4 linked regions of the Drosophila melanogaster genome follow. The protein of the gene in region 3 interacts with the protein of the main gene of each other region in a pairwise test. Each region holds a gene or a part of one and is shown on either strand. Other genes may lie near its edges.

Region 1 (3,912 bases), 2.9 Mb from region 3:
ATTATACTAACTGGGCCACCAGGTGCAAATTTAGCTGGGAAAATATTTGCTATTTGTTTATTATGTATGTAATCATGATTTTCAGGAGTGGGTAAAACTACACTGGTCCACAAAATATGCTCGGCTCTGCAGGATAGAGGACGCATTCTTCAAGGATTCTACACAGAGGAAATGCGAGGTGAGGGCACCAGCCAAAGAATCGGCTTCGACGTGGTCACGTTAGCCGGAAAACGAGCAATCCTATCTCGCAAGAATCCCGGGGACCAGCTGCGACGACCCAAAGTGGGAGAGTATTCGGTGTTTGTGCAGGACTTCGACAGTCTCGCTCTGCCAGTACTTGGCACACAGGATTCCCAACCAGAGCCGGATCTCCTGGTCGTGGATGAAGTGGGCAAAATGGAGCTGCTTAGCAAGCGATTTGAGTCGGCCATGGCTGATCTCCTGAAGAAAAAGCGGGCCCTATTGGTCACCATACCCGAGAAATCAACATTGGCTTTGGTGGAGCAGCTGAGAAAGTCAGCAGGATCCAAGATTTACCAGGTGACCAAATTCAATAGGAACGCCTTGGCTGGAGAGATTACAGAAGAGATTACAAAAGCACTTCTTTAACAAAGTAAAATTGTTGGTCTTTTTAATAGTGCCTAGATGTATAATCGTGCTGCCGATTCTCCGCCGCTGGGAGATCATCATCCGATGCTACGCATCCACGGAGCCAGTTGTTGAGTGATTCATTGCGGGCGGCGGCATGGCTGAAGTCAGTGACTGGGATTCGCTCTTCCTCGTCGAACGTTTCCGAACACGTTTGGTTTCCCTAGCCCAGTCCATTTCATTGTAGTGCTGCTCGGAAGCGGTCCAGTGGTACTCCTGTCGGCTGACCAGTTCCGGGTACTTTTGCTCGAACTCCTTGTCGGGTGGCAGTAGCAGCTCCCACCGTTTTGTGTTATTCACCCGGGCCACAGTCTTCAAAACGTCAAGTGTTTCCGCAGGAGGTAACTGGGTGGCGGCCATTACCTGAGCTCGGAACAGGTAGGGCGTGCGGGAGAAACGAAAGAGCTGCGGATGGATTTGAGGAGATTAGTACAAGATAAGTGATCGCTACACCCATACTATAACTCACTATATAATCTCTGGCGCGAATCATCTGCTCTGCGGACACACCGTTCGCATGGGAAAGCACCTTCTCGGGAAAGACCACCTCGGATTTCGGCACCCAGTTGCCGTGCAGTAGGATGCCCACCTGGGGCAGCAAAGCCAGCACCTTGTCGGCAGCCACATGCGGATCCACGTGCTCCGCGAGAATACTAATGACGTCGCTGAACGAGAGCATCCGCGCATCTCTCAGTAGCACTGTAAGCTGTTCCAGCAGCGGCATAGACTTAAGCATGGCCTTGTTGTAGACGGGAAGTACTTGGGCGGCAGCAGAAGCAGCTGCTGGGGCTACCGTCTGCACATGCTCGTCGTAGGGCAGAAGCTTTCGAAGATATTCGTCAGGAGCGAGAGCCAAAGAGGAACTGCCGTGATGACTGGTGGCAAAGAGCTTCTGGCGCTCCAGTTCGGCGGTGGGCGTGCCCCTCGAGTGCCAGTAGGCCTCGCACCACGGCTCATCCGCAATTCGCTGGACGAAACTGTCGTAGGTGCCGACACGTTGCTCCTTTCCGCTGTTTTTGGCATTTCCTCGTGCAAATTTAACCGTGACCTGCTGCAGCACCTCGTCATCGTCCGTGTCCTCCGTTTGAGCCTTCAGTTCCGCCTTCTTGCGCTTGTCGTCCTTATCGAAGTGACTGAGAACGGGTCGCATTTGGACTATGGATGTAAGTGGCGACAGATGCACCTCCCGATCCGTAAAGATGCCCACTATGTACTTGGCCACATCGGTTATGGAACGCGAGCTTGTGAAGGCCTGTTTGTCCATGATGCCACGTTTGTAGGTGGGTCGCTCCTGACCCTTTGGTGGAACTGCTCCATAGGTGTTCTTTCCGTCGGCGGCCACCGCAAATTGCTCGCCCTTGAAGCGATCGAAGTGGGCCGACTCAATGTCCAGGCCGAAGTCCACCTTCACCTCCTGGGCGATTGGTTTTACACAACAATTGACAATCACGGAGTCATCGTGGTTGGGGAGCTCCGTTTTCGTGGGGTATTGAAAGAGATACAGGCTGTCCCTCAGGTTCTTCGACAGGAATACGGGAATCTGGTGGGGATGGGCGGGCATTGTTCTCATGGTAATAATAGTGCCACTCACATACTCACCTCCTCCACGACGGGATCGTCCTCGTCTTCCATAATTTAAATTTCGATTTGATAGTTTTGTCTGCCGACGGTGCACGCCTAAATATCCAGTGTGACCAGGTTGCCTTCCTTCGGTAGCCAGCTCTGCAAACAGCTGATCGGCACAGTGGTATACAATCACTCGAACTATCTCTCATTAGGCTCGAGATTGAATAATACATTTTCACTATGAAAAACATCAAAAAGTCATAGTAATTTAAAGTGATTCCCTTTTAAGAAGACTAAGTTGTATATTAAATATAATAAATAATTTCAATACATATATGTATATAGAGCTCTGGTTCTAATCTTAAGATGTGCACAAATTATTAGAACTTAGCCGTGAGATACGATTAAGTACTGTGATTATATATGCTTGCCTTAAATTAAGCGAAACGAGTTTATAGTTTATATTAAACATTTTCAAAAGTTCTTCGGTGCATAAATAATAAACACTAAATTTAAATAATTTCAAATTATTAAAATATATGTGTCCCCATCCACTGTGCAAAGACAGAATGCAAACACAATTTCCGCCTACCGATTGGCGATACCGATTTTGTAATCGACCACGACGCCCGGGGAAGATGTCTCGACCGACCGCAGCATTAAATTCATATACCCTATGCTCTTGGCCGCATACATAACCGGATCATGTTCACGGTCACGTCGGAGATCTACGGAGAGAACAACTACCAGACGACCCGCGATGGAGGTAAGGTGTTGTCGAAGTTCCGTTTCGTCTATCCGGAGGAGAAGCTGGCGGGGATTAGGACGGATAAAGACGGCGACCTTGAGGTGCCAAGGCCGAAACGTGGCGTGATCGAATTGGAACATTCCGAGGCCACGGAGCTCCGGCTGGTGGGCTTGCAGGTGTGGCGAGGAGCCCTTCTTCTGGCAGACTACCTTTTCTCCAAAAAGGATGAGTTTTCCCAGAAAACCCTAATGGAACTGGGAGCTGGTGTCGGCCTGACCAGCATTGCCGCCGGAATACACAATAACGGAAGGATCTATTGCACGGATGTGGACCTGGGATGCATACTGAAGCTGATCCGCGGCAATGTCCAAAGAAATTCAAAACTCCTCCGCGCTACGATATCAGTTCTGGAGTTTGATTTTCTCGCCTCAAAAGAGGATCACTCGCAGGATCTGCTGGAGGCCATAGACAATAGCGATATAATCCTAGCTGCCGATGTCATCTACTGTGATACGCTAACCGATGCCTTCATCTGCGTCTTGGATAACCTCCTGGATCGAGGTCGCCAAACTGGGAGACCCAAAACGATATACATGGCACTGGAGAAGCGCTATGTGTTCACACTGGAGGATTGCGATTCGGTGGCTCCCATGTATGAGTACCTCATCCGGCAGACGGTGAACAAGCCGTGGATCATGGAGCACCTGCCTCTGGATTTCCCCCAGTATTTCGAGTACGATCGCTGCAAGCAACTGGTTCTGATGAAGATCATCAGTCGTTAAAATGCGTAAATCACACATAAAGACGTTCCGCTTCTTAGATTCAAATGGCCCCTCGATGTACCTTAATAATTTAGTTAAATTATGGCTTTGTTACGTTAGGTTGAGATATCACCGGAATTAAACTAATAACATTGATTGTGACGATATTTTTTTTGGAAAATTATTGGC
Region 2 (6,370 bases), about 11 Mb from region 3:
ATTAACTTTAGTACACACATATTTGGAAAAGAAAGTGCGACATTTCATCCACTTGCAGGGTTACCTACCCGTAGCGACTCATTCCATTGCTGCTACGCGGCGGCGGAGGCGAGCGCCGGCTGAACATAGTGTCGTATCCACGAGAAACGCTGCAGGAGCGCAGGCTGCCGCTTAAGGTGGGCGGTAGAGGCATGGGTTCGCGGCGAGAGATGGGCGGCGGTGGGAAGTCGCGCATTCGCGAGGTCTGATAGCGACGCTCATACAGATCGCGTGAGTCCTCGAAGCGGCGGTCATAGTAGTCATAGTCCTGCGGGCGGGAAAACAAGATTTAGATTAGTAGCAGCACAGAATGTGAATAATACTTGGCACAATGGATGATTTGATCGGGGGGGCAAATGGATGCTGAATTTACCCTAAAGCCATCCATGATGCGGTCACGCAGGAACGGCGGCGGCGGTGGTGGCGGCGGATACGGGTCACGACCGTACATGCGATCTCTGTAGCCGCCGGCGCTGAGGGGCGATGGCGGCTCGCGTCCGCCTCCGGCACTGCCGTACAGTCGCGGACACTCTTTCGACCAATGCCCGGATCTTCCGCACCGATAGCACTGCTCCGGATCGCCCATGCCCGGCTTGGGGCGGACCCGACTGGTCGACACTTGAACCTTGAGCGGCTGGCCATCGACAACGCGACCGTTCAGCTCCTTAATGGCGTCCTGCACATCACCGACACAGTCCAGATGGACAAAACCATAGTTGCGCACAATGTCGCATTCGACGACGGTGCCGTATTTCTGAAACAGTTCCCGCACCTCCGGCGCCCGCGTCTTGTCCGTTAGATTTCCCACGAAGATTTTCGTGGTCGGCGTATTGGGCGCCCGCCGGCTCTTGGCCGCCTCCACCTTGATGGCGAACTCGTTCAGCGTATAACCGTTCAGATTCTGTATGGCATCGCGACCCTGCTGCTCCGTCTCCATGTGAACGAAGCCATAGTTCTTCACCACGTCGCACTCGACGACGGTACCGTACTTCTCGAACAGTGCACGCAGCTCGGTGGCCTGTGTCTTCTCGTCAAGATTCCCGATGAATAACTTGAACGTGCCGGCTCCGGGCATGGCGGCAGCGGGTTCCGCTGCGTGGTCGTCCACGGTTATATCGTTTATATCACTCTGGGTGGGGTAATCCCGGAAAATGGATATCTACGCGGCGGCGGCGGCGGCGGCTGCGTCGAAAATATATTTATATATATTTGCCTATATGTTTGTATGTATATACCGCGGTTGGAGGACGACAACGGCGACGAACAAACGCGATACCTCAAGAGAAGAGAGAAGACAGTGCAATTGTTTTCTATTTTAACCAATACGAGCAAAGGATAAACATTAAGGCAGCAGCACAAGGAGCGCGAGTAATCTTAATAAACTCGGTTTTAAATCGCATTATTGGCGTTGTGGCCTAACGCATACATAAAAAAAGATGGCGGCGGCTAGAGTTCACATTTTCTCACGGTTCTCGTTGGCGTGGCTTTCAAATGGCGGTACGGATAATGTGGGGGAGCTAACTTACCTGATCGGCAGCGGGCTTTGGCTGCAAATTAAATTATAAACGCAGAGCTTTATACTTTCTACTTTCCAGGCCGAGCAGCAGATTTTTCCAAATCGATTCGCACTTCGTCCGCAATATGACCGTGTGACGTCTGGAAGAGTGTGACTGAGTCTGACTTGGGTGGAAATACCAGATAGAGTTTTCCCGTTATATGATCACCTTAGCTCTGTAAAAATACCGGATAGTTAAAATAATACGGAAATCTTTAAAATATATGAAGATTAGAAAACATAGAATGTCTAGCGATCATGATCGTAACTCGTTAAGTGGTACTATATTGAATACTTTGTCTTGGATCAAGAATATAATTAACATTACTTATTTATTTTACAGAAATCGTAGAATAAGTCCAAATAATTTACGAAAAACTGCAAGCTGACTTGATCGCTTCGAAGAAAAATGTTAAATGTAAAATGTGGTAAAAAAATTATAACTAACAGAAAATATTTACATTGCAATGTATTTGATTTTTATAAACATTGATGTAAAAAAAATTTAAAAACAATGTAATGCATTTAATATATATAAACATTGCAGTAAAAACATAGACGATCTGGCATGTGTTGGCAAACGACCGAAGAGACCCTGAACGATCCAACCACCCCCAACACTAGGCAGCTACAAAAAAGCGCGAAGGAGTCACAATTTGGACAAAGTTAATGCGAAATAAAAGATTTGCGCGCGATCATGGAGACCCCGACGGGTAGTGGGCGTCCCAGTCGCATGGCCACTCCGCGCCTTTCGGAGCGCAAGCGGCAACTGTTTGGCAGTCCCAGATCCAGGCTGCGCCAAATCAACGACGACGAGGATGATGCGGACGTAGACAGTCTGGGTGTCTTGCCATTAAAGACCCATGTGGCGGCCAACAGGAAGGGCAGGAGTCTCTTCGCCGCAGTCCCCGGCAAGTCAAGCAGCAGTGCGAACAGCAGCCCGGAAACCAACAAGGAGAACAAAAAAACCCGTGGCGGAGTCATGACTGCCACGGCGGAGCAGCTGCCCCAATTGTTTACAGCCACCATGCGGCTAAATAGCAACAGCAGCAGCAATAGTCGCAACAGCAGCCCCCGTCAGACGAGGGTCCAAAGAAAGCGAGCGGATTCTTCAATGTCGTCGCCCACCTCTTCCTCTGAAGGAACTCCTTCTTCCAGAGCCAGAAATAGCATCAGACGCAGTCCACGAACCTTCAGTGCGCAAAAGGATCCAGATGCGTTCTCCTCGCCAGAATCTTTTCAGACTAGGCTAAGCAAGGTGGCAGCTATGCTAATGAAGGGTCAGGATTCAAGATCAATGTTAGAAAAATCAAAGAAGAAACACAACCACAGCCTAAAGACCACTGCCCAAGTGCATACAACTAAACCGAAGAAAACGAGCCCAGCTGAAGAGTCCCAGTCGGACGACGAGAAACCTTCTAGCAGTAAGAACTCCAGGAAGAATACAGAAGTTCGTGAAACAAGGAGCTCGCAAATCATCAGTCCAAAAACCAGGAATAGGCGAAGACCCTTCACGTCGGCGGATATAAACTGCAAGACGCTGAAGGCTGCTGCCCATCTACATGAGAACATGAGGTCGTATGATGAAGAAAAAACAGCAGCAGTTAAGCTAGAAAACAGCAGAAGCAGATCCAAGTCCCCGGTAGAAGTGTTCAAGTCAAATGACGATGCAGTAAAACGAAACACAGGAAACACCAACAATAAAACAGCGAAATCTTCCGAAGTTGCCACAGCAAAAAGGCCAGAAAGCCCAGGAAGTAGTATGAAGATTGATGTCGAAGTGCCCGAATCGGACGAAGAAGCATCCAATCATAAGCCTCAAAAGCGACAGCACCCAGAAACGTCCACCCCGGTTGCTCCTTCAGCGGACGCCGACTCTGGTTCGCCGCAGAGCAAGATGCGCAAGGTGACGCTGAGCAGCAGCATTCCCACCATGGCCTTCTATTCCCACAGTGGAGAAGCGGTCACAAAGTCAAGAAGGCGGCCGTCCATATCCAAGAATTCGCTTAAACAACCAACGAAAATCTCGCCAACCTCCCGTCCACTATTGGGCATTAATAAGGGAGTTCACCACAAAATACGCAAGCGTCACGGTTTTGCCAACCGACTGCCAGCCACCGATATGGACAACATTCTCAACTCGCTGAGCAACGAACGGCTCAAGAACCTGATCACCACCAAGCGTGAAGAGCGCGCCAAAGTGGAGGAAGTCCACCAGATTCTCCGTAATGCCAAGGACCCGATCAAAATGGCCAAACCATTGAGTGTGATTGAAGCCGACGATGCTAACAACAATAACAATCTGCCAGCAACCGCATGGCAAGAAACTTCCGCCGATTTCTCCGATCTTAGTGATGTCGAAGACATTGATCCCATCATCGAGGTGGAGCCTATCATACCAATAATTCGCCACGAGCCGGTCCAGAAATCCCCAACCGCCGAGCCAGCCGATCTAAGCAAACGAAAGTTCTTCAAATCGGGCCGCCGTAGTAGCACCTGCATGGAGGTGAGAATCACGGACAACATCCGGGCCAGCGTCAGCCAGGGCAAGATTGAACTCGTCCAAACGATACGCCGTAAGCCGCGGCAAGTGCGCGTCAAGTCGGCCACGATATTTTCCGCCGAGCAGGCGACTGTGGATGCGATCCTAAAGAATCTGGACGATACGGTGGTTGATGAGATTGTAGAAGCGAATCCGGTGGTACAGGCAACGCCCATTGATGCGGAGGAGACGACCATGGAAACGGAGTCGCTACCGGATATAATTGAGTATGCCCCAGAGGCGAACGATGTGGAAATTGATCCCTTTGCTGAGTTCCGTCAACGTTTGCCATACCAAACCGATGATCCCAATGTCGTGGAGCAACAGCAAATTTTACTAGAGTTTCTCATTAGCAACAATATTTGCACCGAAAAGAACTTTGAGATATTTATTGCAAATCCGGATGACTACAAGGACGAGGCCAATCAAATTGTGGACAATTTATACATGGTGGTGAACAGCGAGGAGGCTGCGCAGCTTGCTCAGATGGAAACAGTGGAAAATACAGCGGTGGCCATTGCACCAAAACAGGATGCGCCAGCAGTAGAGGAAGTTCAGCCAAAGCTTTTCCCCATATTCACTCAACGCTTACAGCCCGTTGTCCAGAAATCGTTGCGGCGTCGGCCGGATACATCGATGAGATTGCTAACGGCGGCGGGTGGATCGAATCAGTACCAGATCGATGCTGGTCAAAAGGCCTTCGGAGCACGGCAGTGCCAGCAGTGCGGATTGGTGTACACCGTGCACGAGCCGGAGGAGGAGCTGCTTCATCGCGAGTACCACAATTCCATCCATGTGCTGCGCTTCAAGGGCTGGATCGACGAGGACATTGTGTCCGTTTATCCAGAATGGGCCAGCGACGGGCGCATCATACGGATCAACGAACGCGCTCCGACAGCTCGGCTCGACAGACTGCGGGATCTCATTGGTGTGGTGGACAAAGAGCTGGGCTATTCCTCGTACATTGTGCCAAAGATCTTTGTAGCCTTCATAGCAGTGCGCAAGCAGCAGATCGTAGGCTTCTGCCTGGTGCAGCCCCTCTCGCAGGCCCATCGTTTCATCCAGGTCGATGGCACGGACTACTTCAGCGAGGAAAGCTACCCGGCCAGGTAAGACATCCCCTACTGCATGCCCCTTCCCTTGTCAACGGCTAAAATGTGCCTTCTTTCAGCTGCGGCGTCTCACGCATCTGGGTTTCTCCGCTGCAGCGACGCAGCGGGATCGCCAGCAAGCTGCTGCGAGTCGTCCAGTGCCACACGGTGCTCGGTCAAGAGATCGCTAGGGAGTGCATTGCCTTCAGTACGCCCACCGACGATGGTCGGGCTCTGGCACGCCAGTTCACCGGGTTGGATAACTTCCTCACCTACGACCAGTGATCGGGGAAATCTATTGAAGCTATTGAATAGCTGGATTGTTTTTGAGTTAGGATTGCTTCGAAACCTGTAATAGTTGATAAGCAAGTGCGATTATGTTACTAGCGGCACGAAGACGCGCAATTTAACATGTTTACAATGGTGGTTTAATATGCCTGTTTTTACGCAATGAACACGATATTTTCTTCGAGTCGCATTAATTTTGAAAATATAGATTAATATTGTTTATCTTACGTGTCGGGTTTTAAAACATGTAAATTTGGTGTTACAAAAATAGCACATACGTTAATTTTTAAATTGTATGTTTATAAACATTGTTTAATATATTTAAATTCTAACAAATAACTTAATGTCTAAATGTATGCAGTAAAAAATTTACACAACCTGCACTTGCGATCGATGAATGGTTATCGATCGCTTGCAACCATGCGGCGAGTCCACAAAGTGCCATCACTAGCACACTGAGCCTGGCTTTTGGGCGTTGTTTTCGTAGCAGCAAAGTGGCTGAAATTAATAACATTTAAGAGCAGAAGTGTGTAACACACCTGAATGGGACTTGTGCCAATCTCAGTGACCACCAATCGCGCGCAAATGGTAAGTGCAATCCGCATATAAGCTGCTAAGTGGGGAGCTGCTGGTGCTGCTAGTTAGTTTACTTTGGTGACGCCACGCCCAATGTGACAAATTGGAATCGGTGGCAATTGGTTTCGGGGTGCAAGTGGCATGCAGCGTGGTGGTTGAACCGCTTTCTCACTCTTCTTCCCCTGCCCTCCAGACCATTGAGCATTGTGCAGCAGGCTATTGAGGCTCTTGCAAGTGACCACACCCCTATAAGACTATGTCCACAATCGAAGAGGAACG
Region 3 (3,989 bases):
CGAGATTGAGCGTTCCAAGAACTATATCACTAGGGAAAACTTGGATGCAGCCATTGAGACAGCGTTGGCCAATCCCGTGGACCACAATTTCGCCATCGATATGGCCGGTAATCTTTACCACGGACGAAGCACCTCTCAGCTCCCGGACGCCACTCCCGAACCCAACCAGCAAGTTTTGAGTAATTAATTAATGCAGTGTCTTAGTTTGTTGTTACATTAAAATGCTTTTTATAGGTTTCTAACCAAAGTTGAAAGTCCGTGTTTTTTTTTATTTTTCTGCACAATAAACAACACACTTAAGTATATTTGATTTGCGCAAAAGAATAGGAATTGGATAACCTAGCTATTGTAAAGCGATTTGCTAGAACTAGAATACTTTTCAAATTTTAAGACCGTATTTGAAATTATAATAATCACTTAATTTGAACATATAATATATCAACAATCCATTAACCTAAAAATTAATCTTGGGTCATTGCATTAAGTATTGATGGCTTAATTTACGTTACATATCCCCAAGTTCCAAGCCCATCTTTCTTGGAGTCTCTTTTATGTTCCATATTCGAGTACAATTGTTAATAACCTTTTGAAAAGCATTTGTATTATAAAAATTTCTATATTTAACTTTTATATACGGCATTTAGAATAGGAATAACTTAAGCTTAGGCGCAGCCTATTTACTATATTACATATCTACCATGGGGAAGTGGGTGCTACGTGCCCGGTACTGGATTCGTTCGCTTGGATGCCGCATCCTGCTGCTGGAAAAGGTGCACCCAATCTGGAGTGGCCTTTAGTTTGGCTTGAATGGGTCCCAAGTTGATCATGTTTCCACTACGTTGCTCGCGATTGGCGGTTACAGACATGAGTTCCTGCAGAAAACCCGGATCGAGACCCATATCCAAGTCAAAGCGTGTGTCCCCCAATTGGAGTTTAACGCGACCGGATTTGTACCTCAGAATCTTGCCGATCTGCCCTTCTTCCAGCTGCCGTAGTACACTGCCCTTGGGTCCGTTTGAGCATTTGTCTGCAGGACTTGCTGGTTCCGATTCACTGGTGGCCTGATGATCTCCTTTAGACGGTTCCGGATCTTCGGAATCGTCGCCCACACATGGCAACACATCTGGCAGTTGCATGAGAAAGATCTGCGCTTCGCTGGAGTCCAGAAAGTTACCAATGGTGCGTGGGTAGCGACCGTACTGCAGCGGAGGTTCCTCTAAACTGGCTGCCTGGGCAGCCACATGCAGCTGTTGCAAATGCTGGGCCACTGCCAAAGTGTCTAGGAGCGAAATCAAATTAGATTATGCCATTTTTAAAGCTTAGCGCCTTACCCTTAAGTGTTGAGGTTGAACTGGCGATTTCTTGCTTCGCAATCGGTGTCTTCTGGGTGACCCAGAGTCCTAACGTTTATAAACAAATAAAGCATGAATTTCTTCTGCCCGTGTGCATCAAAAAGTGCTTGTAAAACGTACCCTCTTTTAGCAGGATGGGCCTGAGTGCCATCTCAGTCTTGTTAGCCTCCTCTTCGCTGAGCTCGCCGCCACTGGCGTCCGACTCGCCCAAGAGCTCCTTGATCCGCTCGGCCTGGCTCTTGTCGTCCTTGCGATCCACCCGTTTCCTGGTCACGGACACCTCCTCACCGCCCCGTGCATATGCCGTTCCATTTCCTGTGGACCTTCGCACATGAACATCGCCTGCTCCTTCGGAGAAGAGTCCCTGGGTTTGGATGAGCGTGGAGTTGCCCCCGCCAGCGGAATTTCCACCTCGACCACGTGTTGCTCCAGTGCCGTTGCCACGTCCACCTCTGCGGCCGCTCCTTGGCTGCGTGGTGTCCTTGGATGTCTTGACATTGCTGTGAATCAAATGAGATGATGAAAAGAATGACTCCCCCTGGGCCATTCCACAACTCACGCATTTTTATTGCGCACAGCATTCAAATTGGGAGCAAAGACCTTTTTGCTGGCTGTCCCAGCGCCGCGCCCACCAAGGGTCAAGTCGCGGGCGGGGGTCAGCCTGGTCATTCCGTTTAGCGTCTCCAGTGGGCGTGCACCGCCACCAGACTGACCATTATTCGTGGTGGACCCACTGGCTCCACTGATGGTCGAAGCTGCTGCTGTGGTGACCGTCATCCTCTTCGCTGGCATGGCGTTCCATTCGCGCCGCCCGTCACCTCGAAAATTCGACCGAAGTCGCTGGGTTCTGGTTTCCCCGTAAGTCCTTTAGTTTTGGGCTAGAATTTCCGCAGAATTCTTTGATTTTCCTTTGAGGTTAATGGGAAAGCTGAGTCGATACACCACATGCCGATACACCGCAGTCGATAGACTTGAGTGTAGCCAGATGACTTTGGTTTTGCTCAATATTAATCGGATTTTGAAACTGTGATTGTAGCGGGTTTCTATCGGCGCTTAAAAAAAACCAGCATAATAACAAAGAGCGATATTACAAAACTGGCTTTTTGTTGCAGTAAATCCTAATGTAGTATTTTTCTATGCAACATGGATTCGAAACATAATCTCTATTTTGGTTGGGCAAATCCATCGTTGCGATCAAATCCATCTGGCAACGCTAGTTGAGCTCTACATTTTATAAACAAAGCAAACCGGCAAAATAATCTACGACTTTCCATGGCCAAAAAGTAACGAAATATAGCGGAAACTGGAGGAACCATGGCCAAGCGCTTTTCTGCCATGAAAGACTTCGCGCGGTGCAAGAAACCGCGCCTGGATGTTAGCGTTACCCGCGGATCAGCGCGACCCAGTCCACCGAGGAACAATTTCGATGGGATTCTCTGGGACGACGATGACGATGTCATCCTGATGGCCACCCAGCTGGCGGAGGCGGAAATCGAGGCGGAGGAGCGGAAAAAGAAGGGCGGAACAGAGGTGGACATCGGCAACAGCGAGGTCACCTTCAGCGAATTTGCACCCACTTTTCAGGGCTCAACCAGCACACAGCAAATGTTTCCGCCGCCACCGCCGCCACAAAAGAAGCCTACTTCCCTGGATATGGATGCGATTTTCGCGGATGATGATGATTTCGATTTTCTGGCCGTTACCCTCATGGACAGTGAGCCACAAAAGATGCCGGAGCCGAAGACCAGCACAAGTAGGATAACTACCAGCAGCATAAGTGTTCAGCAGAAAACCACGACCACGACGACCATCAATGCCACGCAATCCCGCCAGCAGGAGCATCAGCTAAAGTTTCTCATGGATAGGATTGAAGCCCTTAAGCGGGAAAACGCGCAGCTGGAAAAGAATTTGGGCGACAGTAAGGAACGCAATGAGATCAAGTCTGGTGAGGTAGGTGGACATCGGGGTGGAACTATAACACCGATTCTAGACCTTACAGAAACTAATCCATTTATATTTATTTCTCTAGGTTTCCTTACTTCGTGATGAGCTGAAGCACTTGCGCCAGCAGCTGCAGGCTAGCAAAATGGAAAAGCTGGCTTTGGCCGACGAAACGAATCGGGATTGCAACAAAAAAGTGGCAGAAGCGGCCAAACAAATTGCGGCCAAGGACATCGAGTTGAAGATTAAGAACGCCGAGTTCTCAAAGTTGAAGACACAGCAAAAAGCCCATGAAAGAAGCATGAATTCCAGCATGAGCATTTTACAGGCTGCTCCAGATCCTTTGGAGAAACGCTTATCACTTCGCTTGAATAGGCTTAACATACACAGATCTGTGCCCGGGCTGAAAACCGATAATGGCAGTGTGTTCGAATACAGCGAAAATGAGGATCAGACTAAGAAACGAAGAAATCATTTTGAACTGGAATTAAAGCAACTGCTACTTCATTACGCTCGGCTGCAGGCAAAGCCGGAATCTGTGGATAACCTCCTGCCAAGAATACTCTCGTCGGTCGGCAAGGTATTCACGGAGTTTGCTTCGTATGCTCAAAGTTTGGACTTTCCACACAACTGCATGCTGTATCCCTACAATCCCCACAACCTAGAGGAGGAAGTTCATCGCATTTCCCTGACCCA
Region 4 (4,062 bases), on a different chromosome or scaffold from region 3:
AGCTTACTTTGGGTAAAAATAAATTTATGGTATTTACGATAAATAAACAAATGCGCTTATTACTCGAACTGATTTACTTTGTGATCGAGAAACAAATGGAAACATGTTCCCTTTGCATTTAGTTTACTATCACCATTTAATTCAGTATAAATTTATCGAGTTATTGGTCTTAAAGCCAAGGATATAAAGTTTTAGGTTTTGGTTCAGAATCAGGACGATATGGACGACTTGAACGATGTCATCGCAAATTTGAGCATTAAATCCAAGAACTTTATAGATGAGGCTGCAAAATCATTAACCCCAACAATGGTGGGATTCAAAAGAGAACCTGAGCGAAATCAAAACTGTACCTACTTTATGCAGAATACCTGCCAGCTTTATCAAAACATTTCTAAATCCCATCCCAAGATTGAAAACAGTGTTAAATTCGATGAAGATTTTGTGATGCATATGGAACCTGAGATCAAGGTGGAATGCTCTGTTGATGATCCCAATAAAGAAGTTCAAATTTTGCTGTATGATCCTAAATCATTTACGTATAATATTTACATGAACATTTTTTTTTAACACAGAAAAAAGGAACGCTTGAAGCAGAAATATATGGAAGCTTTGAAGCTGGATGAAAACCTTGAAGCTAGAGTGAAACAATCGGCCATTGAATCCAATCCCGATATGGAGGAACAACAAGCTGAATTGTGAGATCATAACTTTATTTATGATAGCATTTACTTAACTTTATTGGCATTTATAGAAGAAAACTTCACAAGGATCAAGTGGAAATGTACAAAGGTGTGCAGGAAGAAATTATGGTTTCCTTCAAGAGAGACATGGATGATCTAATGCAACAGTATGAAGCTGAGTACTCGCGACTTAGTAAGGTCCACTCTAAGTGGGTAAATTCCGAGAATGATTCCACCAATAACTCAAACACTCATCAGCCTTAGTCATCGCTTAGGAATTTTTAAGATTTTAGCATTTTATTAGTGAAATCAAAACGTATTTATGTAGTTTCTTGGGTTTTAACATTTGACAATAAAAAATATTCAGTATATCAAATATTTTGTTTATTTTATACAGCTTTTTTATCACTTTTCCTTTGGCTTCAGCTCACTTAGTTCCGTCGCGCTCGGCCAGCAGATCCAGCATCACCTCGATCTTAAGATTACACATATTGTTCTCCTCCTCGAGGGCACGAAACTTCTTGTTCAGCCGGAGCATATCATCTACGTCACCCTTTCGGGTCGAATGCATCCAGATGCCGTCCGCAAAACGCAGCTCCTTGTTGCCCAGCGTTAGGGAAATCTGGCGGAAGTCATCCAGATCCTCGGTGGCCACCGGATGTCCTATATTGCAACGTCCCTGACGCACTGGAATCGGCTTCGACTCGAACTTCTTGTTGAAGAGCGGCATTGCAAACAACTGAAACGGAAAGTTGACCACATTTCGATTACATCCCCATTTGTTTGCCACTGCCCCGTTGCCCAGGACAACAGACACTTGTCAGGGGATCAGCGTTCGCGGCAGGACTCGTGCCAGGTTTTTAATGGCTAGTAAGACCGTATCCATATGTACCTGCTTGAAGGGTAGCGGCTGGCTGTCAGAGATTGACGAGGGGCAGCAAAAGGTTGCCAGTTGCATAAAATCGGTGAAATACAGAGAACTCCTTGCTGCACGCGGGGATACGGATGGATTTCTAAGCCAAACTGCCTTCAACAGGATTTTAAATGCCTGATAATTTAAAAGACAAAGCTTGCTTCATCGCAGAAACTCGTCTCATGTCAAACATAAACATTTTGTTTGGTTCATTGATGAAATTCTATACAAACACACAATAAACCCGATACACAACTCTGCTGTGAAAAATAATATGATTCCAAACACACAACAAATATGACACAACACGAAAATCAGCAAGCCATTCTCAGGTAGGAGAGCAAAGGAAAATTTGTCAACTAAAGTTAGTCAACGCGCAGCCAATTCACCATTTAGCAACTTTGTGCTGGAAATGTGTGAAGGAGTGGATCGACTGATGCGGGATCAGGCCGAACTGAAGGTTCACCTCAACGAAATTCTAAATGAGAACCGCCGGCTGGACATCGAATTGGCCAAATGCAGGAGCATCTTGGTTAGCGGCGATTACCAGGAGCTCAAGCATCGCCTTCAACTCAGCAACAAGGCTTTGGACGCGTCCAAGAAGCAGGTGGATGAGCTTATCAAGGAACGGAACAGCCTGAAAACCATGCATGACCTCTCCAAACAGACCATCGAAACCATGGAGATGGATCTTAAGAATTATCGCGTCCAATTGAAAATGTCTGGAGATGACCAGGTATTATTGCACTTCATCATTCCAATCCCGTATTGATTATCATATTATAGTAAGCTTTGACCAAATCGTATGTTTTAGGGACCAGAGACTAATGGAAAAATCCTAAAGTAAACTTCAACGTTTTCGGAATTCAATTTTAGGTCATACAGCGGTACTCGAAGATCGTCAAAGTGCTGGAGGCAAAAGTTGAGGACCAGCAGAAGGAGATACGCACGCAGGCGGAGACCATAAAGGCCCTGCACGATCACAAGCAGCACAGCGGATTGCAACTCCAGCAGCTGCATGCTCAACTGCAGGATAGCGAGCAGAGTCAATCCAAGGTGTCCATCCTGCAGAAGCAGCTTAAGGAGTACGAACTATCGCTGAGCCACACCCACAATTTGCTCATGGAGAGCACAAGACGGGAAACCGCCGCCATGCGCAAGCTCGAGGAGGCTATCATACTCAGCGAAGAGGCAAACAAGGAGAAAATAGATGCCACAAAGCTGGCCGAGACCTACAAGGAGGAGATGACCCACCTAGCCTCCAATATCGGTACCATAATGGATGAGGCCTCCACACGCGTCGACGTTGAAGTGGGCCATCTGAAGAATATGCTCAAGCAAAAGGACATTATAATTACCACCATAAAGGAGAAGGTAAAAGTCTATATTCGTATAATAATTATCACTTATAGTTACACTTACAAATTTTAGCTGAAAAAACTGGCTGTCGATCATAAGTCGGTGGTGCACATGCTGGAGACCCGGAGCAATCGCCTGGAGCAAAAGTACAAGGAGGTGCTGAAGCAGAACGATAAGCTGGAGGCCGAGTTGGAGGCAACTTGCCGGCGACTTGGCGAACTGGAGCGATCCGTTACTGAAGCTTACGGTGGGGATGCCGAAGATGCCAGGATGTGAGTATACAACATAGACAATTAATGACAAACATGATTATAAATCATAACGCTTTTAGAAAAATGTACTATAAGTCTCAAATGGATCGCTGCATAATGGATCACAAGAAAATGAAGGAGAAATACCGCGAGGGCATGGAGGACATCACGCAACGCTTCGAATCGGAAATTTACAAGTTAAGGGAGGAGAACTCCGTGCTGCTGGCGGAAAACGAACTGCTTAAGAGCGGTGCCGCAGGCGATAGCTCCAAGCAGACTTCACGCTGATTTTACGGTTGTACAAATATATATTTTATGATAACTCTCGTACATAATAAATTAGTTCTACGAGATCACACTATGTGGCGGCCGTTGTCTGTGCGTTTCGACCGGGAAACAAACTGGGAAACCAATAGGCTGGCTCATCGCCCGCCTGCTTGTCAATCCAACAGAGACCTTCGCCGAGCACCTTGTCCAGTGACTGTTGAGCACGATAGTCGGTCCAGCTGAGAACGGATAACACGGAAATCAAAGGGATATTCAGTTGAAAGTACAAGTGAAATTCTTACCCCAAATCCTTGATCAGCTGACTCTGCGTAACACAGCCTTGTTCGGTATTGGATGCGGCATTCAGTATGTTGGTCTCCTCCATGCTCAGCTCTCCGGGAATGGACTGAACTATGTACTTGCCCTTGCCCAGCTTGTGAACCACAAAGCTGAAGGTACGTTATGGAAAACGAGAAACTTGTGATATTGAATGCAAGCAGAGGTAATGACCCATACCCGTTGCCAAAAATGCTCAATTTCTTAGCGGCCATTAGGATGTCCTCCTTGGTGATCTCCTGGTGCACTGAACTCT

The links.
Region 1: the proteins of Polr3D (region 3) and Polr3E interact in a two-hybrid assay, tested with the Drosophila melanogaster proteins (one large-scale study listed by BioGRID).
Region 2: the proteins of Polr3D (region 3) and eco interact in a two-hybrid assay, tested with the Drosophila melanogaster proteins (one large-scale study listed by BioGRID).
Region 4: the proteins of Polr3D (region 3) and CG6569 interact in a two-hybrid assay, tested with the Drosophila melanogaster proteins (one large-scale study listed by BioGRID).

Annotation. Positions count from the first base shown.
Region 1 is NT_037436.4:21,030,257-21,034,168, reverse strand, and holds Polr3E (RNA polymerase III subunit E), read right to left. Parts: upstream 2,345-3,912; 5' UTR 2,281-2,344; coding exon 2,248-2,280; exon of another isoform or gene 2,219-2,247; coding exon of another isoform or gene 2,189-2,218; coding exon 1,118-2,188; intron 1,054-1,117; coding exon 697-1,053; 3' UTR 610-696; downstream 1-609. Other genes in the region: CG10581 (uncharacterized protein), read left to right, coding at 1-22, 86-609; CG10584 (uncharacterized protein), read left to right, coding at 2,920-3,744.
Region 2 is NT_037436.4:7,334,813-7,341,182, reverse strand, and holds eco (establishment of cohesion), read left to right. Parts: upstream 1-1,842; 5' UTR 1,843-1,873; exon of another isoform or gene 1,874-1,917; intron 1,918-1,937; 5' UTR 1,938-2,022; intron 2,023-2,141; 5' UTR 2,142-2,291; coding exon 2,292-5,245; intron 5,246-5,307; coding exon 5,308-5,512; 3' UTR 5,513-5,741; downstream 5,742-6,370. Other genes in the region: lark, read right to left, coding at 69-307, 413-1,114; wrm1 (wurmchen 1), read left to right, coding at 6,348-6,370. UniProt on the Drosophila melanogaster protein: Acetyltransferase required for the establishment of sister chromatid cohesion and couple the processes of cohesion and DNA replication to ensure that only sister chromatids become paired together.
Region 3 is NT_037436.4:18,107,249-18,111,237, forward strand, and holds Polr3D (RNA polymerase III subunit D), read right to left. Parts: upstream 2,327-3,989; 5' UTR 2,145-2,326; coding exon 1,912-2,144; intron 1,853-1,911; coding exon 1,473-1,852; intron 1,401-1,472; coding exon 1,332-1,400; intron 1,280-1,331; coding exon 714-1,279; 3' UTR 600-713; downstream 1-599. Other genes in the region: mRpS26 (mitochondrial ribosomal protein S26), read left to right, coding at 1-187; mus304 (mutagen-sensitive 304), read left to right, coding at 2,667-3,302, 3,382-3,989.
Region 4 is NT_033777.3:21,865,672-21,869,733, reverse strand, and holds CG6569 (uncharacterized protein), read left to right. Parts: upstream 1-1,814; 5' UTR 1,815-1,890; coding exon 1,891-1,925; exon of another isoform or gene 1,926-1,989; coding exon 1,990-2,329; intron 2,330-2,379; coding exon of another isoform or gene 2,380-2,382; exon of another isoform or gene 2,383-2,407; coding exon of another isoform or gene 2,408-2,440; exon of another isoform or gene 2,441-2,469; coding exon 2,470-2,967; intron 2,968-3,024; coding exon 3,025-3,224; intron 3,225-3,283; coding exon 3,284-3,491; 3' UTR 3,492-3,561; downstream 3,562-4,062. Other genes in the region: CG31174 (uncharacterized protein), read left to right, coding at 220-515, 573-695, 752-944; lsn (larsen), read right to left, coding at 3,562-3,709, 3,773-3,919, 3,987-4,062.